3 linked regions of the Drosophila melanogaster genome follow. The gene in region 3 interacts genetically with the main gene of each other region. Each region holds a gene or a part of one and is shown on either strand. Other genes may lie near its edges. The genes, in order: tay, PTP-ER and Mkp3.

The links.
Region 1: of Mkp3 (region 3) and tay, changing one enhances a phenotype caused by changing the other (phenotypic enhancement), as found in Drosophila melanogaster (one study listed by BioGRID).
Region 2: of Mkp3 (region 3) and PTP-ER, changing one enhances a phenotype caused by changing the other (phenotypic enhancement), as found in Drosophila melanogaster (one study listed by BioGRID).

The regions. Positions count from the first base shown.
Region 1 is NC_004354.4:15,879,994-15,889,525, forward strand, and holds the start of tay (tay bridge), read right to left. Parts: upstream 7,319-9,532; 5' UTR 7,045-7,318; exon of another isoform or gene 7,020-7,044; intron 5,951-7,019; 5' UTR 5,902-5,950; coding exon 4,450-5,901; intron 4,382-4,449; coding exon 3,440-4,381; intron 3,375-3,439; coding exon 3,201-3,374; intron 3,141-3,200; coding exon 3,099-3,140; intron 3,043-3,098; coding exon 3,016-3,042; intron 2,599-3,015; coding exon 2,182-2,598; intron 2,117-2,181; coding exon 555-2,116; intron 493-554; coding exon 295-492; intron 229-294; coding exon 1-228. Other genes in the region: MSBP (membrane steroid binding protein), read right to left, coding at 8,043-8,275, 8,351-8,503, 9,309-9,532.
Region 2 is NT_033778.4:21,618,821-21,630,827, forward strand, and holds PTP-ER (protein tyrosine phosphatase-ERK/Enhancer of Ras1), read right to left. Parts: upstream 5,627-12,007; 5' UTR 5,418-5,626; coding exon 2,511-5,417; intron 2,454-2,510; coding exon 1,227-2,453; 3' UTR 501-1,226; downstream 1-500. Other genes in the region: clt (cricklet), read right to left, coding at 1-42, 96-152; mahj (mahjong), read left to right, coding at 6,376-6,785, 6,845-6,995, 7,118-7,936, 7,996-8,268, 8,334-10,457, 10,526-10,646, 10,711-10,808, 10,871-11,233 and 2 more.
Region 3 is NT_037436.4:19,081,651-19,091,304, forward strand, and holds the start of Mkp3 (Mitogen-activated protein kinase phosphatase 3), read right to left. Parts: upstream 4,777-9,654; 5' UTR 4,074-4,776; coding exon 3,671-4,073; intron 1-3,670. UniProt on the Drosophila melanogaster protein: Negatively regulates the activity of members of the MAP kinase family in response to changes in the cellular environment. Has a specificity for the ERK family.

The sequences.
Region 1 (9,532 bases), on a different chromosome or scaffold from region 3:
GACGACGACTGAAAAGAGGGATTTGTAGCAGACACGTGAATACCAGCGGTCGCAGGTATGGATAGCGGTGATATGGCATTGCAAGAACTTCTCGCCGTCGATGCCGCATTCACCATGCCAATGCCCATGCTTGTGCAGTTGGAGAGCGGAGGCGTCGGACGGGCACTACCACTCGATACTATGGGCGTTGTGGGAGCACATGTCGTCACCACTGCGTTGGCAGGAGAGCTGCACCAGAACAAGAAGGAAGCCACGTTAGTTTGATGCATAGCGAAATGAATATTTGATTATTACTTTAACCACAGTGCTGCCTTCGATGAGTACGAGGAGAGATTTCCCAGTCCTGGCGGCATTGAAGAACTTGACGATAATACTGGGGTACCTGTACCACCATATTGACTTGGGGCGATACCACAAAACGACGATCCCAGGCCAATGCCTTGGGATGCGCCAGGCAGCATTGTTGACGCACCATGGGATCTGATATTTGTACTGCAAACGTAAAGATTGATTTTCAAACTGCATATCAATAAATGTATATGGCTATCGCTCACCTGTAGCTGGAATCCCGATCTTTATTGCAAGGACTCTCTCCTTTGGGGGAAATAACCTTCTGGATCACAGATGATGATAAAGTTGATGGAGATGACGAGCTCGACGTGACCGCTGTCGTCAAACTTTGCACAGCGAGAACCGAGGGCGTGAAGTTGGAGACAGCAGCAGCAGCTGATGGCGGCGCAGTTGCAGCCGCAGACGATTGTGAGTATAGTGTACTTCCGCAGCGAACCATTGGCTGATTCTGCGATGACATTGGGTGCGTGGTCAGCAAATGGGACACTGACGAAAAGTTACCGCTCTGCGGCAGCATCTGCGTTGACTGGGGGAAGTGCGAGTGCGGTTGGGGAGCAGCCGACGTTGATAGTGAGGTAACCGCCAGTGTAGAGAGTCCTGAATTCGGGGTGCTCGTCCCAGCGGCCGCAGAGGATGAGAATGCACCTGAAGCGTAGGCAGGCACATGATGGGAATGAGATATATGTGGATTGCTCATGGAAAGGGCAGTCGAGTTCGCCGAAGGCACCACCGACACAACGGGCTGCGATGCGCCGCTAGAAATTGCACTGCTATTATTAAGTGGCGTGATGGATCGCAGGGTCGGCGCCATGGATACATTTAATCCAATATTCGATGGCGTTGACTTCAAGGATGCTGGCGACTCTCGACTGTTGCGACTATCCGAGCTCCGGTGTTGTGTGGGCGGTAAGTTGGACAAGTTGGGCGTGGCAACCGGCAATACTGGAGGCAGGTATGACCCGTGCGTAAGGCCGCTATATGGAGTGTAGAGAGGGTAATTCGTGTACGGTGCTCGGTATGGCGGCGCCTGGATGATCATCGGCACGCCAGTGGCCACATGAGAAATGGGAGCGGGCGGTGCGCCAGGAAAAAGCAGTGGAGACCCTGTGCCCACAATGGCATTGCCGCCAGCGCCGAAGACCACCTTTCCCATGCCGGAAGTTGTCGTCGTTCCACCAGAAATACCAACATAGTTTGTGTTTATCGAGATGGATGTTGTGGCGGAGACCGGTGGCACTAATTTATTGGCTGCGTTGGGCGAGACGCGTGACAACGCACTTGTAGTTACGGATGACGTTGCAATGGTAGCAGCAGGCGGCGGATAAACACTAAGGAAGCCATTGACCATGGGATTGGGGGGTGAGGACGTCGTTGGTACCGAATTACTTTTCGCAATTTCTGAAGTGCTCGACAATCCCACCGAAGACAGTTGTCCCTGGCCATTGGCGCTGCCATTGTTGCTGCCATTGTTGGTGTTTTTTATACTGCTGTTGGCTAGAATCACACTCGATGCCGAACTTAGTATTGATAATCCGGCAGCATTCGGTGCAGCTGCGATGTGTGCGCTAAACGGACTGCTTAGAGTAACCGCAGCCGGCGATGGCGCCGCAGATAGTAATGGAACAATTGACCGTTGCACCCCCGACGACAAGCCGTTCGAAACTGAAGCAGTTGCCTTGCTGTTGAAAATAATCTTTTGATCGATGTCAGATGCAACTGTTGATGCAATTTTTTCATTTCCAGCTGATATACCAACGTTGGGGAACTGTTCAAAGATAAATACAACAATTAGATGACACTTCAAGTTGGCTATTGCATATCTTAACTTACTTGCACTGACGAAACCGATGGCGGAGCACACAAGTTGGGATAGAGTGGCTTGTCGGGTGAGGTTTTCTGCAGCACACCCAGCTCTCTGTTCCCAGGATCGCCCACGCTGGCCGCAGGTGGTGGTGGAATCGGAGCACCAGCATGGGCATGGACCGCCTTGCCCGATGCGCTCTCCGATGCGTTCTTAATGTTTAAAGCTTTACTTGGATCGCTGTCCGGAGATACTGTGCCCATCGCTGCCGCAAAAGGTACTCCGGCATATGGGCCATTATCCCTATCTCCACACGCCGCACTCTTTTTCTTGAGGTGTGGAAGTTCGGAAAACTTGCGAGAAGACGATCGATCCGAACACGAAGAAGTATTTGAAATGTTCATGGGCGTTGGGGGGTTGTCAATATCAAATATTTGTTCAGAATTCTGCAAGTAAAAGAGTATATTTCATTTAACGAGCAATTAAAACGAGTCGTTGTAGATTTATGCACAAATAAAAGCCCAAATTCATACTTAAAGCTAACCTTTATATTTATAGCAAAAATCAAATATACCCATTTATAAAAGGGATTCTATGCTTGTTCGCTTCAACTATTTCTTTGGCAGTGAAAAAGAATGAGATAGAAATAATTGGGACGCCTTAAGAAATGGATGTCGTCCTTCCTGGACATAAGAAGAGTACTTATTACTGCGCAATTAGAGGCATTTTCAGACATTTTAATCCCATGATTTAATCCTAATTATAAATAAAATGCAGAACATATGTGCGTCCCCTAGTTCAATTGTTGTGCAACCAAAGTAAATGATTTCAATATTATAGATTAGAATAGAAGCAGGACATACCTTTTTATCATTGCTGACATTATCACACTGTAAGAAAAGAATGTTAGAATGCATATTCGTTGAAAATGCTGCCATATACTTACGATATTATTTCCTTTGCTGTTGCTGCTACAATTGGTTGAAGCCTACATTAACAGAAGATTCGTTTTAACAAAATATTTTGCGTTGAAGAAATGGATTCTTACATCGTTCAAAAGATCACTTTGCTCGTTTTCCTTCTTTATGCTAATGCTGCTGCTGCTGCTGCTGCTACTGGCCCCAAAGGATTGCGCCGAAACATTGGCCAGCTCCTGAATATCCAGGGAGCGGCAGGTCGCTGAATTCGTCACGGTTTCAATGTTCTCCAAACCCATCGACTTCTGGGCAACGAGTTAAGATAACTATTAGTAAATAACATCTTATCGGACAGTTGAGGTGGACTCACCTTTGCGACCTGTGCTGATTGCGAGCCCAGTTTGCAGACACCCAGGTGATTACTGTTTGCGTTTGCATTTGCGGCGGCATTAAGATCACTTGATATTAGATTATTGAGCTGGTGCGTGGGCAGCGGTTTTGTTACGTGCAATTGGTCAATAGTGTTACTCGTGGCGGGGGAATTGTGAGATTTTTTGGTGTCGCTGCTGCTGCCAGTACAACTGGCGTGAATCACACCAACGTCAATGTGGTCATGACTATGCGATACGGCGCCACCAACGCCCAGCGATGGCAGGCTGATATCCAACATCAGTGAATCGTTGTCGTTCTCCAAAAATCGAGTACTAACAGTAGCACTGTTGTTCACTTGCATTTTTGCCGCATTGCAACCACCGTCCGCCGCCTGTTGTTGCTTGCTCGATTGGTTGTTGGTTGTGTGGTTTATTTGGTGGCTACTATTGTTAATTTGATTATCATCACTAATGTTATTATTACTTTTACTGTTTGCGCTATTGTCCGATTGCAATTGGTCTTGCTGCTGCCCATATTCGGATCGCCAATGATCCCTGGGCTCGGCTTCCGTCTCCAGAACATTGCCCACCATGTTCACAGATGGCAGCAGGTAGACCACGTTGGATAAACTGCTGCTATTGCTGTTCGCGTTGGGGCCATTGCTGTTGATCATGCTGTTGTTGTTGTTGCTGCTGTTATTGTTATTATTGTTGCTAATGACATTGCCGCCACGATCACGATGAAGGCTTGGCTGCGGGTTCTCCTTCAGATTGTTATTGTTAACAGTCAAAGTGGACAGGCTGGTGACACGCAACGGTTGCGATTGACCAGTATCTATAACCTTTGGGATTTTCATTTCCTCTATACTGTAGGTACAAGTTAGCTCGTCCAGTGCGGATAGACGCTTCTCCTTCCGCTTCTGTCCCAATTTGATGGCAAACTGTTGTGAAGAAAGATTATTACAGTAGGCTGCGTGCACGTATGAAATGAAATGGCAACGAAACCTACCTCAAGATCCTCGTATGTCTTAAACTCCAGTATAGCGAATCCATCGATGATTTCCTCCTCGAGCACCGGAGATCGTGGCAGCTTTCTTCGAACCGGAGGTGGTGGTCGAGGCGGTGGCTTGTCGCGCGGCAAGAGCAGTGTGGACGAGGACGAGGTCGAGAGCAGATCCTCGTCCAGCGACTCACCCTCGCTATCGCTAGGCGTGGCCATCAATCCCGAGTTGCACTCGGGGGAATGTGGTGGATTTAGGAGTAACGATGCAATACTATCTGTGGGCGGCAGCAGATTGTTGCTGCCATTGCTGCTGCTGGTGAAATTTCCATTTGAATTGTTGCTATCCTCGCCCATGCTGCCAGCGCTGTTGATGTGATAGATCATCCCATTGTTGCCGGGTCCTGCCGCCGATCCGTTGCCCATTGCAACAGCCGAGGATCCGCCACCGACGCTACTATTAGGCGTGACGAGGCCAACTCCACCTCCCTGGCCACCGTTGGCCGCACTCATGGCACTGCCGACCCCCACAGAGGATCCGGCTATGAAGGTGCCACTCAGCGAGTTGGCATTGCATCGACTGTCGCGTTCCGCTTGCAAACGCTGGGCACGTTCCCTCCGGCGTTTCTGCTGGCGCTGTTGCTTGGCATTCAGACTCAGATGAGTACTGCTACTGGAGGTGGTGCTGTGGCCATTGGTATTCCCAGCAGCCACCGCTCCTGATCCCGCTCCGAAGCCGGACTGATTACCGGCTATGCTAGCAGTGCCTCCCGCACTGGAATTCAGCTGTGGCATTATTGTGGATCCCGCCGCCGTCGGAGGAGACGTCGGGGATCGCGAATCTATGCCGGCTGAGGCGGAGACGGCCGCTGCAGCTGCCACAATCGAGAGTTCCGTGTCGGAGTCAAAGTCACAGGCACTGGGAGCCATCGATACCGTCGAAACAGATGGACAGGTGGGCTCCGATATGGAGACAGGTGATGCCGGGGGAATCGCTGCCACGGCCATGGTTTTGCCGCCATCCGATGCCGACGTCGCCGTCGTCGTCGTCGCCGCCGTCGAGGAGGTGTTCGATACAAACGATGGCCGAGCACGAGGCATGGAGCCCAGATCGGCTATATTGGCACTTGCTTGAACTAAGGCGGTCGCCGTCGGCGGAGGAAGATGCAGTACCGCCAGGGCGCCGGTCGAACTCTTTGATATACTCTGGCCCACTACCGTGAGCACTGTGGACTGTGGCTGTGACTGCGATTGCGACTGGGACGACTGTGAGCTGGAGCTGGAGTGTGAATGTGAGTGGGAGTGCGACTCGCTCTTCTCATCCTGGACTGGGACAGCGGGAACGGAGGATCCGATGTCCTGCGACGATGATATATGCTTGATTTGGGATCCTATTCCATTAATACTACTGCTGCCCGACGCAGACGTCTTTGATTTAGCGCTGGCATTTGATGTGTCCATTTCTTTTGCTACGTAAAGCTTCCAGTGGATTACACTTCAGTTCCTTTTCCTTGGGAATACAAATTATCGATGAGCATTATTATGTATATTGCTATCTGGACCAAACCTTTTCCAATGCATTCGACTATTATTTTTATCTATATTTCTTTACTTTTTTTTTTTTTTTCTTTGGAAGGAGGGGTTTTCTATGCCAGCGATAAGGCGAGAAAGCTTTACAAATATTGGATTTAAGGTGCTACTACGGCCGATTCAATCGCGTGTATTTTGAAAAAATCGATGCTGCGCCGACTGTTTTTACGTGATATTGTTATTTGGTGGCCACTGTGGGGTTTTTCACATTCCGACCGGTTAACATATTTGATTAGAGTCACTAATTTGGTTAAAAATAATAATTGTACAAGTTGTTTTCATTTCGTTTGCTCTTTTTCTTGTAGTCAACTTCCCTATTGCGCTTTTTTCTGTACACACACACATAATATTTAATTCTGCACACTTCTTTTTTACAACAAACACTTATTGTTTTTTCGGGTCAGTGGGATTGCACACAAATCAGAACAGATGTAAAATATAATAAAAAAAATAAATAACATAAAGCCGATATGAGAATTCACCGAAAATAGTCCATATTTATTTTGTCTAGCACTTTATCATTCGTCATATACTCTTCTTCTTCTTCGTATTCCTCCTCTGCTGCTTCTTCGCCTTCTTCTTCTTGAAATATATGTATGCACATATATGTACGTACATGCATGCGTACATATAAATTCGTACGAGTATACGTATGTATATTTATATACACCAGTTCGGTTTTGCTTTTGCTGTTGCTTTTTTTCTTGCTTTCCTTCTTTCTTTCGGCCTTTTTTCTCTATGCCTCCGTGTTCGTGCCGTCTATAAGTCTGCCGCTAGCGAGTGCACAAACCATTCAACCAGAGTTTCACACCGTTGCCTTTGCAAATAAAATTACGATAAAATAATTTTTTTTTTAATTAAAGAGAACATTTTGAAGCAGCTTCTTTTTTATTTTTACTCTTTCGCAGAACTTTAGTTGGCTTTTCTCTTAAAGATTTGCAGAAGCAGCGCAGAAACAGAAACAATAGTGTCATCTCGCTCACACTTACACTTTTCTAATTGCGACATACGTACATACAAAATACGACAACGACAAATACAAATACGACGACGACGACGACGAATTTTTGTGAACTGTATGCGATTGTTCGTACATTTTTACATTTTCCACACACACCGAACGCACAACGAACGGCCAAAACGATCGATTGTGCATCAACGCGTTATAAGCATCGCTACCAAACTAACTGTCATCACGGCTATTATGTATATTTTACATAAAATCCAATATTATTTTCCGAAAATTTTGTTAACCACAAAGAACCAACATAGTCTCTCAGAGACGGACCAAATTTTCGATAGCTGCAGAAAATCATTTTCAAGGGGATAACATTATGATAACTATCGAAGTAGCGGCCAGTCTCCACTGGTGGCCGCGATTTCGGGCGTTTCACACCGATAACAAGATGCGAAAAGTTGGTTTCAAAAAATACTGGGAACAAATGGAATAAATCAAAATCCATTATTAGGAAAAAAACCTGTTTTTTGCTTTTCTTGCAGTTCAGGATTCCCCCACCTCCCAAATAAAGATATTGAACGTTTAAGTATTTAATTTGTATTTCAAATATAGTTACATTTAAATTTATATTGCCACGAAAATGACTCCCATACCCTCCACACATTGGCCTCCTCCTTAAATAATTTTATGATTTCCGTTTGTTACATTTGTATGAATATACGACTATAATATATGGAACAAGATCACATCACAACGTGAATTATAGTAACAACTATAGCTTTTGTCAAGGCTGCACTCTAAGAATAACATTCAAAAACGATTTTATCTGTTTTAAATTCTTTTGAAATGTTCACGATAAATTTAATGCCTTGATTTGTACGGTTCAAATTGGGGCGTGTTCTTTAAATGTTTTCCAAATAGGTCTTGTTCTCGATTTTAAAGGAGCAGAGGCAGCATCAAAAAGAGTCGGAAATGCTATTTAGTTTTGTTGTGTTTCTAACCGAAAGTAAACTATTACAGCCACATCCAAAAGCAAAACAAAAAACCCGATTCGCTAACAGTCGGTAGAAGGAGTGGCCTGATCTTGTGCGTTATTTTTGTTTGTTACATTGCTTTGCAAAATGTGACTTTCCTTTTCTTGTTTGGTGTCATCAGTCTCAGTTTTCGACTTGGGTAGGTTCTTTCGCTCTTGTTCATCATTGTTAACATTCTCCTCGTCCTCATCATCGTCATAGTTGGTTGGTTCCTCGCCCTTGCGCAATAGCTTACCAACCAGCTCATATTTTTCTAAATAACATAATGAGAACGTTAGTTTACCTATGAATCTGAGCATATACATATATATATATATGATTTAATTACCCTTAAACTGCATTTCCCATTCCCGCACAGAGTCCATTTCCACGGCACTTAAATCGCTCAGGTCATCGTATTCATCCTTGTCAATTGAAACCACGCTGAAAGTGGCCAAGTTTCGCGAGGCATCTCTACCCGCAAAAGTTGCGTAGGGTCCACCTGAAAAGCAGAGAATCATCATATGTTACTATCTAAATATTTATATAGTTTTAGTTTGTTGGAGTCAGCAGTCTGGTCATCAGGAACACGGCACCGTTGATAGAAGATAGTATACAATCAAGTGCGCAACTTAAGGCTTTTCTGCGCATCTACGTCACAAGTGTCGTGCATCTTGCTCGCACTCGTTACTTTTAGTTAAAATACTTAAGGAAAAAGTGCAAGCCGTTGTTGAAATGCCACTGGTTTCTGTTTGGTGTCTTTGAACATTTCAATTAAGGCATTTACATTAGGAAGTATTTCGATTTGATAAGGCGGACGACAACTATTTCATATGAAAATGACGATCATGGTGAACTATTTTTGCATTTCATGCTTAACAATAAAAACACCTAGTCGACATTTGGTAGGCATTATTTGATTATTGAATTTGGTTAGATAGTTGCGTTATCTCAAAACGAAAACTTTCTTGTTGATAAGCTGTTAATCTTAGCGCAAAAAAAAATGACGAAATATAGCAGAGATATGAGCATATGTCGTGCAATATCTCCTCCCACAGAAATTAAATGCGATTAAGAGAGTTACAGATATCAGGAAAACCAATATTGTGACGTAGCATTGCAATTATAGATAGACATCGTATAGAGGGATATAAATAATGGGATCTTGGCAATGAAACACATACCAAAATACCAAAATCCCTTCCTTATAATCGGCAATAGATCAATCGAAAATAGTTCTAAAGGTATATGCTATACTGTAAGCTTAGGAACAACTTAAATTCAAATATTTATAGCCTAGCACTCACCTGGGCCGTAAAAACGCCTTCCTTTGCTGACATCGTAAACACTTCCGTTGACGGCGACCAAAACACGGCCATCCGGCTGAGTTCCATCGTACTGGCGAAGCTCCTTCACGGTAAAATCGCGTCGGATTTTGGGTAACTCAGGTTCGGATGGCTTTGCAACGCCCACGGATGGCACTTCGGTGCGATCCCGAACGATTTTATAGACCAGGAAGCAGATGATGGCC
Region 2 (12,007 bases), on a different chromosome or scaffold from region 3:
TTGCCGGCCCACCAAAACGCCTTGTTTCACTGGCACTTTCACCTACAAACAAGTAATTGAACAATTTTGTTGCGATTTGGAAGCGCACTCATTACCTTCATGCTGCTGCAAAACCTGGTAAAGATTAGTCTTCCACACGGACGAAGAAGCATTGTGAAATCAGCCCGTTACGGGTTTCCTTAACAATCTAATCGGCAATTATTCGGCAATCTCAAAACCTGAATCTGAAACACTGAACTTTGTTCGTCGAAATCAGCTGTTTGAGGCGCTTAACCCTTAGCTGGTGCTGCATGAGTGATTTTCGACGTCAATTAGTTCAAGTTGTAAATAGAAAATATAAACATTTAATTTACTTTAACTTAAAGCTCTAATTAAAAGATGTAATTTTGAGTACTGGAGAATTTCTTGTTAATGTCAAAAAAGTAACTCATCGCAATTTCCCTTTACTTAAAAACGTTAAGAACAACAAAATAAAACTGCCAACTTTACACATTAAGGTTACATTTAAAATGTTTCTAATTTTTATTTGACTAGTTCCATTGCATAAACTTAAATACATGTTCATTTATGGGTTTCCATTTTACTTATCGAATTTTTATCTTGTGTTTTAAATGAACTCGTGTCCGTATTTTGGTCCACGTCCGGCGGTCGAGCTGTCCGCTTGGGATTGGAGAAATTGGTGTTTAGTCAGAAGGACCCAGGGAAGGATCCAACTTGAGAAAGGTTTGAGCTTTCTCCGCCTCCAAGCAGGATGCACAACTCACCGAGGGGCGTCGACGAACGTCGCGAGTCATATATAGATGCGCATCTTTATGGTAAGGTATGGTTTTGGTAAGGTAAGGTAGGGTATAATAATTGTTAATTAACTTTAGTTTAAGCATAGTTCACACCAAAAGTCGGAAACATTTACACTTATGTACACATTTAACACACATACATCCAACACTTAATAAACATTTATATATATGTAGAATATGTGGTAATAGTAATATTTAGAAAACATTGAAAGCATTCCGTCAATCCTCCTTCGGAGAATGCCATCATATTCCATTTTCGAGACTCTTTTAGCCATGGTTTCTTGTTTTACTTGTTGCTTGTCCGTCGCGGTTGCTTTCATTAAAATAAGGGCCACAAAAATTGTGATTACAAATAGTAAATTGGTGTTTTGTTCTTCATCTCCATCGTTTTGTCGTCAAAAAGTTGTTGATCATGGTTTTCGCTCGCTTTTAAAATCGCCTCAACGCCAGTGTGCGTTTCAGGTAGAGGCAAATGGCCCGATGGATGAGCTCATACTGCTCCGAGTTCTGGACCATCCCGCCCCGCTGCAGGCGAAGATTGCAAACGATGCCCAGGACGTCCACGAAAATGTCCGGCATCTTGGGCAGACGGTCAAAGGATGGCGGCGTCTTAACCGCCTCCGCATCGCGATGATCCAGAATGTGGCTGATGTGCCGGATGGTGTTGCAAGTAAAACTGCTGTCGCTGTCCGTTGGGTTATGGTACTCCTCTGTCGAGCTGCTGGTCAGCGATTTGGTGAGCATTCCTGTCAGCGAGTAGGCCAACGACTGCCGCAACTGGCGCACTGCATTCAGGATGGCCGTGAAGCAACCGGTGCGCCCAATTCCAGCCGAGCAGTGGATGACGGGAAGGGGCTGGACTGCATTGAAGATGTCCTGCTGGTAGATCTCCAGCCGCTGAGCAGCCAGGTGGGCATTCCTCTCGCTCCTGGTGTCATCGTAGATGTCAAACTCCGACTCACACTTTCCAAGGTTGAGTACATGCAAGCAGGTGTCCAGCAGCGTGTTGATGTCCCGAGGCGAGTGATGATCCGGCCAGTCGGGATACCAATAGTGGTAGCAGTAGATTTTCTGCAGGTGGTAGCTAGCACTCTGTGGCACACGAATGCAATAGAGCAGCACCAGCTTTCTCACCGAGTAACCATTTCTTCGCACAATGCCGACGTTTTTAATGAGGAAGAAGCTTCCCTGGGCGGGCAAAGCCTCCAGCAGATCCCCTTCCAGCGTCACCTTCACCGACTCCACGCCTATGTGCCGGCCACTTATCTCATAGTCGATCGCATCCGAGGAAGCCACCACAGTGTCCGGCACAAAGGTGGGCGTTAAATACCGATCGAAGTAATCCCGGGCAGCCGCACTCAGCTGAAACACTTCACACTTGGCGGCCACCGCGAAGATCTCATTCAATTCGATGGGGAAGTAGACGGCGCACTTCTGCCGGTTCGCTTCCGTGAAGTTTGTGAGCATGACAATCTTCTGGAAGTACTGCTGCAGGATTTGCTCCCTGTCAACGTGAGGACTGCTGCTGCTGCCTCCATCCACGCACCGTCTTATGTAGCGCTGCGTGTTCTGGTATATCATAAGCCAGAACTCGAAGATTGTATTGGGCAGTGGACCCTGCGTGGCCACATAGCACTTCGACACGTAGTCGGGTCCCTGAAATGAAGGAAATATATACATTACTTTCATTGGATTTGCGCTTAGTTCCATTACCTTGATGTAATTGGCATTAATGTAGGGCAAGTCCTCGCTAGCGGTCACGGAGCTGGTCCGTTTTATTTCCCCCAGCAAGCTAGTCAGCTCGCTGGACTCGGATTCGAGTAGCACGCGAGAGTTCTCGTTTGGCAAGATAGTCTTGTAGCGATTTTTTGTCTGCGAGCCGAAGACCATTGGCTTCTCTTGGTGATTGAGCGGCAGGTCCCAGAACTCCTTGTGCAGATCCCGAAAGATTCTCTTTTGTTCGTTTTCTTTCAGTTCCGGTATTGGTTGCGCCATCCTACTAACCACTGTCTGGTAGGACGCGAGCAGTTCACTGTCCTCCGAGCTCGGGGGCACCATATCCGTGGGTGTCTCCACATCCCGTGCGTTGGAGCCCAGCACCGGCGGCTGCTCTATGATGTTCCTATTCGTCTGGTAGCTGTGATCGAACACGTAGTTCAGCCGGATAAGATCAAACTGATTAAGTGGATTGGAGGCGCTCTGCAGCATCTGTATGCTGGCCAAGTAGATCTTGAACTCCTCGCTAGTCGTTTGGGGCGACAGAGGACGGGTCATAATGTTGCGTACGGTGCCAGCGCAAGTGCACGTCGCGCCAATGGCCTGATCTTCCCTCACCGAATCCTGCTGAGGATTGGGTTGCAAGTCCGAGGCGGATCCGAAACATACCTGCCCGAAGAACTTTTGGCTATTGGCTTTACTGCTGTTCAAGTTCTCAGTGCTAAAGAATTTGCGCTGATGCGGGGCTTGGTTGGCGGCAGCACAACTGCAAACCGTGACTTTCGGTTGCACGATGTCCGTCATCTGGATCTCGGTACCTGCTGCTCCTCCCAGTATGCTGCCCATGTTGAGAGTGAGGCTTTGATTGGAGCCACGACGTTCTAAAAGTCCTCGTTTCGGAGTAGGTACATTGGATCCAGAGCCCGATCCCGAGCCGGTGGAATTGGTTCGCATATTGAGTCGGTTGTACTTTTCCGCACTTAACATTGCCTGTTGCTGTTGGAGCTGCTGCATGGAGTTTAGATCTCCACACGATGTTGTAGTGTGCCCCGTCTTCAGGGTGATACTGTGATTTGATCCCCGCCTCCTGAACAACCCCTGCCGACTACCCTGGCTGCTTCCCAGCAGATGTGACTGTGGCAATTGATCCGCTCGAATTTGGCTGGCGGTTCCCGCATCCAAATTGCAGCTGGACTTGGAGTTGAGTATTGAGCCCAGGCTATAGTTGGAATGACTTAGTCCACTGTTCATTAGGTTGCCACAAGAGCTGTGCAGGTTGAGCGTTAAACTGTGATTGGATCCCCGACGCTGAAGGAGATTCATCGATGATGTAGACACTGTGGTCTTTGCCTGGAGTGTCGGCATCGGCAAATCCATTGACTTCTGCTTGAAAGGCGATTCCTTAGGACCACCGCCAGAGGAGGAGAACTCCACCAGGGTAAGGCACTCGGGAAGCGTTTTTAAATTTGTGCTGGACGAGTGCAGTAACTGATTGTGCTTGTGGGCGCTTCTCGGCGCTAGGCTTGCGCCTATTCCAAACTTCGAGCCACCGTCCACGCTACAGGCGGACTTCAGTTCAAAGTCCCCCAAACTGGGGGTTAAACTGGCGTCCGAGTCCAAGGAGCTTTGTGTCGTGGAGCTGCAGTGTGTCGGTTGCACCTGATATGGGTTCTGCTTGCGGTGGTACATAAGCCAGTCAGTGGTGTTGATTCCTGGTGACTTTCTGCGCGGCGTTCGTCTTTGATTGGCCAAGCTTAGGTGACTATCCAGTCGCGAGAGCGATGTTGAGTGGATAGCGGATGCGGGCTGTTGAAGATGAAGGTGATGGTGGATAACACTTGTCGATGGCTGGCTCTGTCCTGTCTCCATGTCATCACAACTGCCATGAGATTCGGTTATGTTGTGCACCACGATTGACAGTTCCGATTCGTTGGCAGCCGAGTCCAGCGAGCGGGCCTTCTCCTTGGTGCTCTTGATAGTCGGTGTCTTGGGCTTGGGCAATGGTGATGGCTGGCTCGAGTTTTTTATGGGCACGTCCGTGATGCGAATGGTGAGATTATTTTTATTCTTGCGGTTCTTTCGCCCTTCCGATTTTTGTTGCTGCTGCTCCGGCGGCTCGGCCAACGCAGGACTACGATCCCGACGTGTAGCTTCCTCTAAACAGACTGTATCCATGGGCGCATCCTGCACGACATGATCGATCTCGGGGAAGCGAAAGAAGTTGCCGTTCTTGTAGCCGGCCGAGTTAATAATGTTCAGGGGTGAACCGGACACGTTTAGGTTGTTGATGGAGGATAGTAGTTTCGGGGAGTAGCTTAGGCGACTGGCCTCCAGTCCCGGCGTCGTGGAGGACTCATCCTTAAACAGGATGGTGGGTGAGTTGTGCTCGCTCTTCGACAAGTACAAGCTGTTCTCTAGGTCTTGGTCGACTGACCCGCCCTTGGGCATAGTGTTCTCCTTGTCGATGCCACGGCCACTGACCCGCTCCTCGCCGCTGGAGGTATTAATATGCGGCGAGCAGGATCGGCGATCATACTGTGATAACCTCTTGAACTTGCGGCCTAAAGTGGGAGACTGTGAGCTGGATGGATGGTGGACGTGGGCTGCTGGATGGGGGCTGGTAATGGTGAACTGCCGGGGGGTGAAGACCTCCTCCTCCTGATCCTCGTGCTCGGGAAAGCCCGGAACCCCGCCCCCAACCTCCACCGTGGGCGACGGAAACTCGAAGGACGTCTGCAGGTACTCGAGGGGCGTAAAGTAGGGTGTACTCTTGTTGCTCTCCGCATCCTCGCCAGCTTCAAGTGGGGTCGTGTCGGAGGGGGCGGCGTGGGTGGGACGGGGGGTCTGTGGGTAGGGGTACTCAATGGGTGCATTCTCCTTGTTGTTGTTTCGTAGCTTGTCCATGATACACACACACAATTGCTGAAGCGGGGCGATCGCAGCGCAGTCGCTCCGCCCGTTTAGTGTCTTGTCCTCACTCGATCGGCATTATAACTATCTCGCCCGCACAGTTAGCACTTCCGAATTGGACGCAAATCATGGGGAAAAGAGCGTTTTCTTTTCACAACATTTTCAGAGCTAAAGCATGGAGGGCTACCAGACCGCGTATGTAATCGATCCGGCAATGCCTTCATTGCTTACCGTGCTGCCAGGCCGCAGACTAACTGCACCAAGACCTGGCAACGTTGTACCTAATTTAACCGCATTTTTCAAGTGTCTTTTAAAATAAAAAGAAAGAATAGGTTAACAGATCTAGTGTTTACATCAAGGAGTTGCAGAATTTGTAATGCAGATGTTGTACACGGGCGATAGTTAATTCAATCGATCAACTGAGATGGTATCAGACAATTATATTTTGCATGCATCCAGAAAAATTGTTGTAAAAGATCACAGACTTAGTTCTAAATAGTATTTCAACCTACCTGTATTTTTGTTTATGAAATCACTACAAAGTTGTGAACAATTTAGAAGCAACAACGTAGTGTTCCTATTACCACCGTTCCGTTTACCTCACAGTTGCACGTTGCTCTTTGGCACGCTTTTATCTGTGCATTTGCTTGGAAATAATTAATTGAGTTAGGCATTTAAATCCTTTTGTGTACTTTAGACTTATTTAAAGACCTTTTAGATTGGTTTAATTTGCCGAAAGACGAAAACAAACAAATTTGTGCGACAGCTGACTTCATTATTTCAACGACAATAGCAAAAGGCCACACTAATTTTGCGAAAAGCGCGTGGTATTTAATACCTTATTTATTTGCTTTATTTCGCCATTAGAAGTAAGTTTCGCTGTGTCGAAAATCTAGCAAAGAAAGCCACTGGATCAAGACCTAGTGCATCCAAAACCCAGTAATTCATTTCGATGTCTGAGGGCAGCGGAAGCGAGAATGCGGCCGCAGCAGAGGCTGCGGCCGAGGCAGAGGCCGCGACTGAAGCGGCACTGATGGCTGAAGCTGTGGCTGTGGCCTACCAGAGCGACGAGGAGGAGCAGCCAGAAGCCGAGGATATGCCGGAGCAGGCTGGCGATAACCAGGAAGAGGACGCCGCTGAACAACAGGATGGGGGGGAACCAGAGGCCGACGAAGACGCTGATGCTGACGACGCCATGAGCGTGGAAAATGCGGAAAACGAAAGCGATAGCGGTGGAAACGCCGAGGAAACCGCTGCCGCCGACCGTCGCCAAGCCACCAAGAAGGAGCTCACCCAGATTATCGACAAGTGGGAGCAACAGCAGACCCAAAATGGATACGATCCAGTGCCCACTCTCAGGAGGTAAGCGTGCTTCAAAATCATTAACGCATGGGTCCAACTTAATACCTTTACTATCGCAGCCTTGCGGAGATCTTTGAGCGTGAGAAGGACGTGTATCGGCGCAAGGATCCGGATCCCTTGGACTCACGACATCCATATAGAGCCGATCCCAGCTGCCAGTACGGATTGCTACTCAAGCTGCTCTTTCGGAAGGATACCTTCATGGGCAAAGTAAGAATAAAGTCATGTGATTTTTATTTTTCTAAAAAGCAATGTAAATGTTTTCTTAAAATCAGGTGTTTTAGAATTTCCAAAACATAAGCTAACTAAAGTGAAATATTTTATTTAACTAGCTCCTCAACGATTACCTGCGAGAGAACTATTTCAGTCGCCAGAATGTCAGTCGCAGTTCTCTAGAACTAAACATCTTGGCCTGCCGCCTCATTCTGGAGATAATGCCAGGAATGGAGACCTCTGCAGTATTTCAGACCGCCGAAGGCGATGGAACCATCAATCGCATCTACTCTTGGGCAGAGGACAGCATTGAACCGCTTCAGAGCTATGCCACCGGGCTTTTAGCCGAAGCGATGGAAGTGAGCGACATAGCCATAAACTTTCGCGATCTTAATATTCGATTGGTGCCAAAGATGATCAAGCGTCTGCACATGCTCCTGGCGATCAGCAAGAGCGCCACTTCAGATGTCAATACGTCGATGCACAATCTGTCGGCTGACAGCAGCACGGCGGGCATGCTTAGCTGGGTGGCCTGCGCCAGTAATGCATCGGCTCCTCAATCGCCGCAGCACAATGGCAGTGGGCTGGGAGCAAGTTCCTCGCAGCATGGAGACGCCTCTAATATGTCCATTCTGTTCGAGAACAGCAGAGATGCCTTTTCCGTATCTCGCTATTACAAACGGATGTACATTCCTTTGCACCCGGCCACAGCAGATACCAGCCAAATGTTAATCATGCGCTTCCTGACCAGCCTGGGCGAATATCAAGAGTTCCTAGCCATGGCTTTCGAAAACAATGTGATGCAGCTAATTTTTGGCTACCTGGAGAACTTGGATCGCCGGGACACCTGCTTGGCCTACGAAGTTTTGAAGTATCTGGCTTCCCTTCTTTGCCACAAGAAGTTTGCTTTAGAGTTCATTTCACACGGTGGACTGGAGGTCAGTAAATGGTCTTGTAGAGGGAATGTAATTATTTTTAACTTTACTATTTTTTACAGCTTTTGTTAAAAGTGCCCCGCCCCAGTTTGGCGACTACTGGTGTGTCCATCGCCATCTACTACTTAGCATACTGTGAAGACGCCATGGAACGCATATGCAGTATGCAAAGACCACTTATTTCAGAACTAGTTCGCTACGCGCTTTGGATTCTGGGTCGTTGCCACGACTCCTCAAAGTGCCATGCCACCATGTTCTTCAGTCTGAGCTTCCAATTTAAGGTCATATTGGATGAGTTTGATGCTCAGGATGGTTTAAGAAAGCTGTACAATGTCGTAAGTAAATGGTTTAAACGAAAGAAGTTCGATTAAAGTCAATTACCTTAACTTCTTCCTAATAGATTTCCGTACTAAAAATTCTTGATCCGAGCCACAACGACAGCGATAATGACTCTGATTTCAACGAAGACGTAGAATGTGCTTCCCGACAAATGGTGCGCCACGTCTGCGTAGCCCTCAAGCGCTATATGGAGGCGCACTTCTTCTACAAGTACAACAGCTTTCTGTGCCAAACAAATGCGGCATCCCCGGCACCGTCATCAGCCCACTATTTCAATCAGAATCCCACGGTTGCTGCCAAACTGACCTTTGACCAATTGAACGACCAGATTCGCACGCTCCAGGAGCACACTTCTATCCGGGCGCACTGGCAACCCGTGGATCAGCTAATGAAGCTTGGTGGAATCACCATGCTACTCAGGATCATCGCCTTCAGTTACGATTGGGTGAACAGTGGACGCTCCGAGACGGTGCGCTCGGCTCTGGACGTGCTCAGCGTATGCTGTATTATCCCAAGAGTTTATGTTGTGCTCTGCGAGCGCCTGCTGATGCTAGACAAGACAACTACCTCCGGATTTTGCTCGGTTCTGGGCGCTGCTGCAGGAGAGATTAGCTCGGATGCAGAGGTTATCAAATCGGCGTTAGCGGTGCTGTGCCATTGTGTTTGCTCTCCGATCATTCGCAAGGACAGCGGCACCAGCCTGATTAAGTTTGGAACGTCCTCCAGGAAGAACAAGGCCAACCATAAGTACGCCGAAGAGCTGATTGAACGTGTGTGGGAGTCCGTGTGCTCCAACAATGGCATTGTGGTCTTGCTATCGCTGATGCAGACCAAAGGACCCATTACGGATGCGGACTGTATACGTGGAATGGCCTGTAGGGCCTTGGCGGGACTTGCTCGCTCCGATCGGGTCAGGCAGATCGTCAGCAAGCTTCCACTCTTTGCCAGCGGACAACTCCAGACGCTGATGCGGGATCCCATACTCCAGGAGAAGCGCGCGGAACATGTAATCTTCCAAAAGTACGCATTGGAGTTGCTAGAACGAGTGTCGGGTAAGACGAAACCGCTAAATAATCCTTTGGATCCATCGCTGTCCAACATGCACAAGGCCAATGTAATCGCCCAGACACGCATCCAGTATAACAAGCAGCAGCTGTATCAGCTTATCTTCGAGCACCTGGAAAGCAACGGTCTCTCCCAGACAGCCCAAATGCTGCAACGGGAGGTGGGTCTTCCGCTACAGACTCCCACTACGCGCAGTTTTCATCAATCACCTTTCGACTACAAAAGTCTTCCCAGTGGTAGTAGCTCGCTGTCTAGAAATCGTCTGCGAAGCCGCATGCAAGATGTGAACGCAGCGATAATGGGCAATGGAGACTTAAACAGAAGTTTTGGTGAGGACTCCTCGCCGGCAGGAGCCGGTGGTAGCAATGCGGGAGATGGAGTCAGCATACCAAATTTTAGCTCCCTTAACACAACGCAGACGCCCATAAAAATAAGGAGGACGGATAGAAGTTCAGTTAGCCGCTCTATCCAGAAGCAGGCAATGGAGCCTGGTGGCATGTCAGTTGGTCTTGCCGAAGATGGTCAACTGCATCCCAAGAGGATCACCCTAAATACCATCGTAACGGAATACCTCACCAACCAGCACTCGCTGTGCAATAATCCGGTGACAACCTGCCCGCAGTTTGATTTGTACGAGCCGCACAAGTGTCCAGATCCGAAGCCCAGCCGATTGCTAAGCTCGAACTACAACCTGACTAGTCGGCATGCTCGAACCCAAGCCGGATTTAATACCAGTCGCTTTGACCGTCGCTATGTGCACACGCACTTTTCACCATGGCGTAGCATTCGATCGGCGGACTACGAGGACCTAGAGTTCACCTGTTGCGATTTGGCGGGTAAATACATCATTGTGGGCACGCAGCAGGGCGACGGACGAGTGTTCAACATGAACGATGGCGTGGAGCAGTTCTTCTCCAACTGTCACAACTTTAGCGTTGATGCTATTAAGGCTAATAGAGCCGGAGACTTGGTCATCACATCTAGCTTCTGGCGCACACCCACCAGCATTCTATGGTCTATTGCGGACGATGAGTTCAAGCTAAAGTTGCGACTTCCCGATGTCACGTACTGTGAGTTCAGTCAAACGGTGCAGGATCGTTTGTTGGGCACCCAGAATGAGGTATACTAATTTGAGTTATTTTACGATCTATAGCAGTTTCAACTAATAAATTCACCTTTTTTTCACAGTGCGCCACGCTCTTTGACATAAACACTGGTTCCAAGGTGGCCTCGTTTACGCCAACCATACCTAATCTCTACACCAAAAACAGAGCAACTCTTTGCCGAACCGATGAGCTGATTTTGTCGGGTAATTACATAAATGCATTTATAAGTATAAAGTTACCTGAAATGTAACTGAATCGAATTCCTAGATGGCGTTCTATGGGATGTGCGTTCCGGAAAGGAGATCCACAAGTTCGACAAGTTTAATCAGTGCATATCAGGCGTCTTCCATCCCAACTGTCTGGAGGTACAGTCGAAATTTGTGTTGATTTATTTATACCATGTTAATATTTCCAACACAATTTGTAGATCATTGCCAATACCGAGGTGTGGGACTTGCGCACCTTTCATTTGCTGCAGACAGTGCCGGTGCTAGACCAGCGTAACTGCACCTTCTCCCCGATGCATGTAATCTACGGTGCTAGCTTGGGGGCTGATAGGGACCATGACATGGAGACGACCACCTACGACACCAGTTTCAACGTTCTGGACGCCTACGACTACTCGAGCATTGCGACCATTGACGTTAAACGCAACATAAACGATCTGAGCGTCAGCGCCAACGGGAGTCTGATCGCCGTGGTCGAAGACTACAGTGGCTACGAGTCCAAACAGGAGACCTACGTGAAGATCTACGCTGTGGGCGTTAAAAAGAGCGAGCGCTCGGAAGAGGTGCGTGCGGTTAAGGAGCTGGCCAGCGAGGTATCGGACGCAGTGGCGCCGGGGTCGGCAAACGCTAACGATGGTGGCGATGCTTCGCTGCTTCGGGTTTTCGAGGAGCCACCCGAGGAGCGCCCACAGCCGGCGGAAAACGCTGCACCCGCCGGTCCCAACGATTTTGAGGAGGATCAGCTACGCCGGCTAAGTCCCGCCACGCAAGCAAGTCCAAATCTTTCTCGCCAACATGCACCCAACAGCTCAATTGTTGGGGTGCGACGGCGGGCACGTAGACTGGGTGGCAATGGCAGCGGCAATGGCAGTGGCGGGAATGGGAATCTGAATCTTAATGGTGGTGGCGGAGTCGGAATCGGCGCTGCCATAGATCTGAGAACCCTCATGCGGCGCATGGATGATATTGAACTAAATATTATGTCTATGCTTGCAGGAAGATGATGAGGAGGTGCCCGAATCTGATGAGGACGGTTCGGATACGGGCTCCGAGAACAGTAAGTTTGATTTTGATTATAATCATTTAATCCGTTGCTAAATCTCCTTACTCCCTAGCTTTTGCTATAGGTCAAAATTTACTGGGTTTCCCCCTGCTTCGTAACCTTCATGGCTCGGACAACGATGACGAAGATCTGGATGAGGACGACGATGATGGAGAGCCGCTGGACTCCGATGACGATAGTGACGACGACGACGGCTCCGACAATGGCGACGACGATGGCGACTTTGATGTGCTGGAATACTTCGATAGAAGCAGCTCAGACGGTAACTCAAGAT
Region 3 (9,654 bases):
TAGATCTAATTGAATTAAATTCCGTCGACGGAAATGCTTAGTTTACTATACACAGACTGCAGTTTAAAGCCATGAGCATATATGTACATATATACTTCACCGCACATACTTTCAAAATACTAACTTGCTAGAAATTAAACTAAATATATAAATCTCTTGCAGCATAGCATCTCAGTATCTGAAATTTAAAGTTGTTGAACTACAGATACACCGAGTGCCACTATTCGCGTGACCCTTTCTGTGCGCACATGTCGCATTCTATCCTATATAGTTGGTGCCCCAGTTGGCCCCATCTTAATTGTTTTAATTCCGAGAAATGCATACAAAGTGGCATTTAATTAAAATGAATTTTACATCGCCAGTTGAAGCCGAATCCAGCGATGGCCGCGATGCATTATGCATTTTTCATGCTGCCCAGGGACTTCATAATGTCCTGAAGCTGGAACTAAAAAAAAAAAGGAAGACGTCGAAAGAGACGGCATCATTGGCTGACAAAGAGCGCATAATTGCCGGGACTTGATTGAATTTCAAGGTTAATTAGTGGCAAGTCGGGGGAAAAACTTTATTGTACCCGAGATTGGTAAGAACTTTGCTGGGCCAGCTTAAGCTGATTACCGTCGGTGTTTGGCGGTTGTTAGCCGGAGATTTTCTGTTGGTCACAACAAGAAAAGGGATTACACTGTGTGGCTTTTATCGCCTAATGGATAAAACAACTAAACAACTAAAACAGCGAAATTTGCTTAAAGAGCAAGCGCAAGGAATTAACTTTATTAAGCAACCAAGCAAATAAATAAAACCTATAAATAACCTATTAAAACAATGTGAGGAGATGTTAGCCGTATGCAAAGTAATAATTAATATATAAACTCCGTGTAACAATTTCAATAGAAGAAAGCAAATAGTAGAAAGAATGTTCTGCCCCAAGTTTGTTGCAAATAAATATATCATTATTTACATCCCCATTCCGTCTTCCGCTTTGGACTTCCTTCCTTTTTTAGCCAACCTGACCCAGTTCCGCTTGCTTCCCAGCCCAAACTTCCTGCCCCATTTCTAATCGCAACCAATAGCTATAGATATTCCCCGTTCCGATACACACTACGTAACTAATGCCACACTAATGCCACAACTTCCTCTCTACACAGCTGCTTTTTGTGCATTTGCATGGCAAATAACCCCAAACCCACTCATGTGATTAGATAAGTCGGCCCAGCGACTTCCACTAAAATGTCAAAATCATTAACGGATTGCGGAATTGATTTTGAATTTAGCCAACTAAATATGGGCGATGATATAGTCATTATTTCCAGATCATTTCACGAAATCGTTTAAACAATTATGAAAATAGTAGTCGCTCTTGCCCAAATTGAGAATTTGAGTTTGTTTATCGAGCATGTTTCGGGAAACGCAATAAAAATCGGTTGCTCGGCTATGTTTCCATTCAAAATTCTTGCCTGAGGTCGCAGAATTCATTTACCATTTCGGGATCATTAAGGAAAACGACTGAACAAAGCGGACACTTCAGCAGGCCGGAAAAACAATGAAATCCCTGAAAAGGTGACACTGGATTTTCACGCTGTTATCTTTCCACCTTCGCCTACTATTCATTCCAAAACTTCGTTTTGTTCATCTGGCGAATGTCAAGAGGTTCCAACTTTCTTGGGTGTTTCCCTGGTATTGCCGGTCGTAAAATGTTTCGGCCCGATTCTCCTAATTACCTGTGCACAGGTAGTTTTCACAGGATGCTTCGTTGCAGCGATCTCTTTCCCACCATAGAGTGCCATCTCTTTCCACGGCTTGACGTCATAGTTGAGATGGCACCTTATGTTATGCTAATTCCACGGCCTTTCAAGTTCTATTTATCTTTCGAAATGAAATCGGTACAAAAAGAAAAGTATCTTAGAGATGGGTGGTGGGGTGAGAGAGTTGGGAGGCTGAAAAGCCGGTCCATTTGTTGACGCTCTATTGTCAATTTGCGATATTAGCAGGCAGACACAAAAAAAAAAAAGAAACAGAAAACATTTGAATGGCAGAGGAGAACGTGCGTAAAGCTTGTTCGGCAAAAAAGTGTGTATATGTACATACATATGTACATACATCCAAACAATCACGGGGTTCTGTGGGACTTGTAAGCGAGCGGAAATTGAAGTGATAAAAATAAAAACGAAGCCATAGTCAGTCGTCAGATAATTATGTATATATTTCGACTATGTGCACAGGCATATAGGGCAGCACATACATAAATAAGCATATGTATAGCATATATAGTATATATGACAATTTATGTGGCTTTGAGTCATGGGAGTCGAGCCTCGGAGTCGCTGAAAAGCAATTGTGACATTTTTCTGAATGACACAAATCTATACGGGAGCACAAAGAAAATGTGTAGCCAACAATAGTGGAAAGACCTCAAAAGCATCGACAGCAGTGATGTTTATTTATGACTTCCTTAATCTCCGAACGTGTTTGTAAAATACCAAACGATTTTGAAAACACATTTATATTTAAATCGCTCCTTAATTGATATGGGCCAATCAAGGAGGGGCATAGTGTTTCAGAATAAAGTGCATAATTGGAAGGGCATGCGGGGTGGTATAACTACATATACATATATATCCGCCGATATGGTTGGATTGATATTTTGCGCAAGTTTTAATATAGCTTACATGCAATTGTGATAAGGAAACAAAAGACACAGCATATATAAACTAACAAATTCCTGCCATTATAATTTTCTATCAAAGTCAAACAAAATCGTGTCAACCAAAAACAAGTTCAGAAAGGTGAAATCTATGCAGTGTATGTCTATAATCAGAATGCGAGAGGAGGAGGACAGGATCAGTCAGACTAAATATAATTCTAATCTGGCGCTAGCTTTATCAGCTGTGCGGATTACATTATATTTTGCTAGTTTTTTTTTTTGCATTTGTCATTTTGTCTCCGCCCCCAGAATGCTTGCCTTGTTTCGCCAAAACGAAAAAAAAAAAAAACAATAACAAATCCATGCAAATGTTTATTTATGGCCAGGCAGTGCTTGCTTGTATTATTAATATTCTTTCGGCTGTTTTGTTTTGTTTTGGTTTCTTCCTTGGGGGTTTCGGGCTAAAAATGCCGCAAACAACATTGGGGAAGTATAAATAAGTTATGATATTCTTAGGCCTAGGATAGGAATGTGCGGCATTGATTTATGGGCGGTGTTGGGAAGTATCAGGCATTTAAAGAATCCGATAGCACAGCTATGATCAACAAATGGAGAGTTCCGTTCTCGATACAGGTGCGTAGTAAACTAACAAAAAATTCCATTCGTAATATTGATTCATTGCATTCCAAGAATATCACAATGTAAATCTTAATATTACTACTTTAGTTATTACATTCTAATCAAACGAGATTAAGGGGGGAAATTTTGGATGAAATTTTTCGGTTTTCTACTATGTTTATAATGATTTACTTAGTCATTTCTATTACTGAAGCTTTAATATTTCAAATATGTACATATTCTATGAAATCAACATGGATAGTATTCATATTTATAAGATTAATTACGTGAGTTTAAATGTGGGAATTGAGAGGTATATATAAACCTTAGTTGGTTTTAGTAACTCCCGCACTTGTATTATGATATTGTAGTTCTATTTTTTGGGGCACCCAAAGTATTGAACTTATGACTCACCTTGTAAAGCAACTACGCGGCAGCCGTCCTGCTTGAGGCGACGGTGCAGGATGCTGATGATGGAGTCCATGGCGACGGCCAGGGATCCGGCTCCGGCGATCTCCTGATTCTGGCCGGGCACGCCTTCGCCGTTGTAGAGGATGAACCAGCATAGCTTGTAGCCCGACTGGATGCGTTGCTTCAGCTCGGGCGACTTGATCGTGGAGGCCAGATCGATTTTGCCAACCGCCAGACGACGGAGGACGATGCTGGGTATGCATAGGTTGACGGCTCCGCGGATGTGCGACTCACTGTACTCGTGCGAGCCGCGGCAGTCCAACAGGATCAGGTCCTTGGAGTCCAGGGATCGCAACTGGGACTGCAGCCACTCCTTGCTGCAGGTCTCGTGCTCCGTTTCTGGCATTTTGAAGAGCTCCCAAAAAATCACTCAAAGACTGGAAGAATTCGAAGCACTGCCACTATTTTTCCCGTTTAGCTCTGTTCTCTGCTTCACTCGTTTTTTATGTTATTCTTTTTTCTTTTGGTTACAACAAAGTTTACATCATCTTTCTTCTTCTGCTTCGCGCTGGTTCTCTTCTTCTTTCTTGGCCGTGCAATGGTATTTGTTGCTGTTACACACACACACACTCCCGCGCAGATGAAAATCTTGGAAATCAAAAAGGAATTTTTGTTTTTATCTCGTTTGGGGAAATCTGTAACTTGCACTGTTTTGTTTTTTTTGTTTCTTGGCTTTCCGATTTCCTCGCTTGCCGATTTATGTTTCTTTGCACACCGAAATTCGTTGCTTTTTGCTTTTTGTTGTATGTACACACGCACACAAGAGCGCGCCAAATCACAACCGTGTGTATGTTTCGCGTGTGTGTGAGTGGTTTTGTATTTTTTAGGTGTGCTTCGCTAAAACAACAACAACAGTTCGGAATCGAATGAAAAAACGTGCGGTGAACCTGTCATCGAGTAACTAAAACATCCAAAAACCGTTGAATATTTCCCAAACAAATAGGTAATTACTTCTATCAAATATCCATATTTTGAGTTGATGTTTTTTTCGAATGGAAAGCGAGCACACACAAGCAGCGCGGGTAAAAGATAATCGGGCAATAACAAAATAAGCGCGTCGTGGGTTGCTTAAATAGCCTCGTTGCTCTCCAAAAATACGAACACAGTTGCACTTGCTCTCCGACTCTCCAATTCTCTCCGTCGGAATTCGAAGAGCGAAACCCAATAACAATATTGTATTTGTTAGGCGCAGTATTAAGAAATAACTTATAAAATATTGAATCTTTTTGCCTTCTCGTTTAAAAAAATACATTTGGGAATTACTATTTCGAAACAAACAGTCCGTTACACGCAATGAAAGGAAGAACGCACCCGCGCACACAGGTACGCGAACCGGAGAGAAGAGCAACTCTCCAAAAGGTGAGCAAGAGCCAGTGCACAGGCACAGACCCACTTGGAAATTTGCTCGGTTAAAAAAGGAGAAAAAATGGGGAAAAAAGTAAATACAAAGAGAGTTCCTGAATAAAATTTAGATAAAGTAAAGACTTTGTTTTAATTCTATAAATTACATAAAATTTTTTAAATATATTAAATAATCATATTTTCCCGTATGTTAAATAATTATTTCATAACTGGGTTCGTATTTCAAATTTCCCACCTGCCTTTCTCTCCCGCACTCTTTTGGCACTTTGACTATTTCTCCACGCTGCATACGCTCCCAAAGTTTTGTGTAAAGTTCATTGATATTTTTGTGCTGTGGTATGCGTGTGGCAAGTAAAATGCGTGTGTTCGTGTTGATTCATTGAATTCGCCATCCAAACTAGCTCTCTCTCACTCTCCCACTACTCCCACCACCACCCACCTTACCCTTCGCGATGGAACCTACTTTATTGTTACTCTCTTTTTGCGAGAGCGCGGTTAACATTTCACTTCACTAGAGTGCAAAAGTTAATGGACCACTAATTTAGACAGATAAGAAATTACGGAGCCCAGAAGAATCGGAATCATCAATGGAGTCGCTGTCTACTCTCTAACGAAAGCTCCTGCGCAAATGCTCCTCCAAGAGCCAGTTATATTGGAGACTCGATGAAATGTTTAATTTTATAACCATGACCCTGATATTTACACCCAAAAAGAAGAGACTCACACAAGGATATACGTGTGTACCCATACAGAAATCGCATGGAAGGACAATTTCAAGGATATGCGGCGCGTGCAAAAATTTCTCCACAAACAACAAACTTCCTGCTGCGCCTGCGTTGCACTAGCTTTACATAAAACGCACACCCATACACACCATATACCGTTAGGTAAGGCCCATCACAACGTGCTACTATATACAGATGTACGAACGAACGACTTTCGAGCACAATTTTCATGAATGAAAGTCCCACGCAGCAGCGAAAACCGTTGGAGCAATAAAGAAAGCCAAGCAGACAGAGAGGGAGACAGTCGGCGAGGGAAAGAAACGGCCATACGAAATCCATGCTCAGCCCACGCATTTCTCGCTGCTCACTTTCGTCTTGGCACGCGGCTCCTGAGATTCCAAGGGCGTTATTCCCCAGGACTTTACTCTGCTTTCGGCCCTGGCGCGTGGGAGGCCAGCCGGAATGTTGCAAGGGAGTGCACAGGGAAAAATTGAGCGGCTCTTTAATAAATTACATTTTCTTTCAGCAGTCTCAATACAAAGAAAACATGCGTACTTCAAAAGGATTTCTTTAATAATAAAAACACACACAAAAAATATATATATATATTTATATATAATACTAAGAAATATTTGTTATAATATGAAATCATTTAAGCATTTATTTATTTACGCTTCAGTAAACACAAAAGTGTAAACACACATATTACCATTAATTTTTGTATTCATCGAAAGTTGTACATAATTACTGTCAGTGTATCACTCAAGTATGAAGAAATTAGAAGTAAGCACCTGGATAGCTGTTTCAAAAGGCTGCTCAATTGCGCCTTCCAAGTGTCTTTGGTGGGCTGACCTTGGCGATACATATATGTATTTCTGACAGTGTAGAAGCCAAGGTCGGTCGTCCTCCGGGCTCCATTCTTCGATGACACAAGTTCAAAGTCTGCTCGCAGCCAAAATGGAATACCCAACCCACTTGTATAGCTCAATGAATCACTTTGGGGCATTATCTGTGTTTTAGCAGGAAACTGATGTCGAAAGTGAAGAATTCAATTAAATTTCTGCACCTCACGATTGTCAATCTAAATTGCGCAAGCTACGGCCTTTACCTTGATTATCAGACCCCACGTATAATCAATATGAAGATGATGACGCTTTCCCGAGTGTTTTTATATGGTGCGTGTATAGATCAGTCATAGCCATATCGGCTTGAATGAGTGAAAAGTTCTGAGAAATGGGGGAAATATGGATCATCGTGATTCGCAATGTGCGATACTACTTATATGAGCTTTGCAGGGTTTTATTCATTATCTGGTGTTATTTTTCCACTCATTGTTATCAAGAAAGACCATTAACTGCGTATACTTTCTAACAGATATTTCCCAGCAAGTTATTAGTTATCGCTGTGCTGAAACCTTTTCATAGTTACAAAACTCATATGAGTATAGGATAATTATTGCTACGAGATGAATATTGCCTTCTAATAATTTGGACGTTTATTAACTAGCTGAAGCAATATAATTATTTCTTAAATGCAGTTAGTTAGCTCAACGGCATTCTCCCACACTAGTTTTGCATTCTGCTTTACTGACCTAAAACAACTGGAATGGGATTAAGAATTGGCGCGTCCGCTTATCTGCCATTCATGTTTCCGTTTCGCCCGTTCTGAAATGTGTGTACTCACACTCGCATTCACACTCGCAATTGGGTTCTCGAATCCAGCCCACATCCATATATCCATGTCCAGCCCCCAGAGTTCCGTTCCGCGAGATCTCTGTGAATCACTCGCCCATATGAACAGCGGATGTCGGTGGGCGCCACGGGTCTCTAGAATCAACAATGGTCGATCAACAATCGTCGATCAATGTGCGTTTGACGTTTGACCAGAGCGAAGAGGCTGAAGTATCTCACAGATTCTCAATATCTCAATATATACATATGTTCCCAATCTCCATGATTCTGGGCACTCCGATGACGTCGTTCCAGACAAGTGTTGGTTCAAATTGGTAGCCAAAAACGGTGATAAAAAATTAAATTATCATTTAATAATAGCTTTGATTAAAACAGACATTAATAAATGAACACGAATTTAACAAGTTATGACAAAATATAAATATAAGTTAACATTTCTGCAACAATGCAATTAAAGTTTTTCGTTTTACAATACTATTTGATAATTATAATTATATATCAAATAGCATGCATAGATTGACAAGAAATCCAAGATTCATCCCATATACGAACTGATATCCCTCCTCATCTGAAGATAAGTAATTCGTCATTGTAGAATGTGAATCCTCTTGGGAAGTATCTGTTTCCAGTGCTAAAAAATGTCTAAAAAATCAGATCTGCACCGGACGCTAAAAAAGAAGAAAGGATGACGAGTCGGGACGGCAGATGTGAAAGAATCTGTTGGCTTTGAGCGCCCACGCGAGCAAAAGTTACGATTGATACGAAACAAACGGCGACCTGACCAAACGACTTACCTATTCACCGAATTAGAATGCGAATGACGTTGGTTGTACTCACTTTTGGGATTGGTTTTGTCGGGCCCACTGACTCATTTCACTTTGGCCACTTCACTCAAGGTGGCTTAAACAGCAGCCGGTGCCACGTGTTCCTTCCAAAGGGGAAAGTTATAAAATAAAATAAAATTCACAGGGCTACAGGGAAATGGGGCACCTACGCCAGACTCAAAATCCTGTTGACGTCATTCGGGGGCTGCTCAATGAATTTTCTGCACTTTCTTTACCGGCTTACTGATTGCAAAAGTTGTAAATAACATTGTTCATCACTTAGTCAAGATCATGTGTTTGAAGACATCACGTGGGAAAGAACTACGATTTAGTATGAATAAGTACTAAGTAAGTAAAAATATTTTAAATATTAATTACTTTACGGTTAAGATTGTTAACACTAAAAGAATGAAAATATTGCATAAAAGCTTTCTAAGATTGTATTAAAGTTTAAAGCTTATGTGCTTCAATTGTGATTATAAGCGAAAGATTAAAGATTATAAATTCTTTAACGTTGTTTAAAAGTTGTTGTGGAGAAGAAAGATTTTTTTTTAATATTGAAATATCTCAATGTTCATCTGATTACTGTATTTTTGAGTGGCAATCTAAAAGTAATATCTAGAATCTCAATCAATCTGTATCTTTTTTTGATGTTTACTTTATAGGATTTCATTTTAAAGTAGAGCAATCAAGAGTAGAAATTCCTGCCACCCCCCTCCTCCTTTTTTTGCCATCGTCATCGTGGTTGTCATCGCCCATCCGTGCCATCCTTCCCCAATTGATTCGTCGGAGGGGCCAACGAAGGTTAATGCGAGCCAGTGTTTGACCTCCAGGGTCAAGCTGAAGGCAAATTAATTGCGAGAATTGGGTGCGACAGCTAGAGAAAGCGCAGAGCTGCTGTAATTGATACAAGAACAAAAACGAGAAGCCAAATTGCAGCCAATTGATCGAGTTAAGGGGCCGATGCTCTCGAAGTTGGCACTTCCGTTGCGTTATAAGGGCTGGGGAAAGCCCCCCAATCAAAAACAATTTCTCTCAGTGTGCCAGCGAGCTCGATAATTAGGCGGTCAACATAAGTAACATGGAGATATAGATCTTTCATGGAATCTTCGTCCTTGATTACTGCTCTAAAACCTATAATTGAGCATAATATTTTGGTCAGCAAATCAACTTATACTGGTAACAATTTGATAAGAAAATGTGTGAATTTTTAAGTACTATTTATTACTAGTTTCTAGTGATGCAGTTGTAGTTGTACGGCAATGAAATGAAAAACTTCAACGAGAGCAGACTTCAATCCTAAACGGATTAATTAAGATATCGTG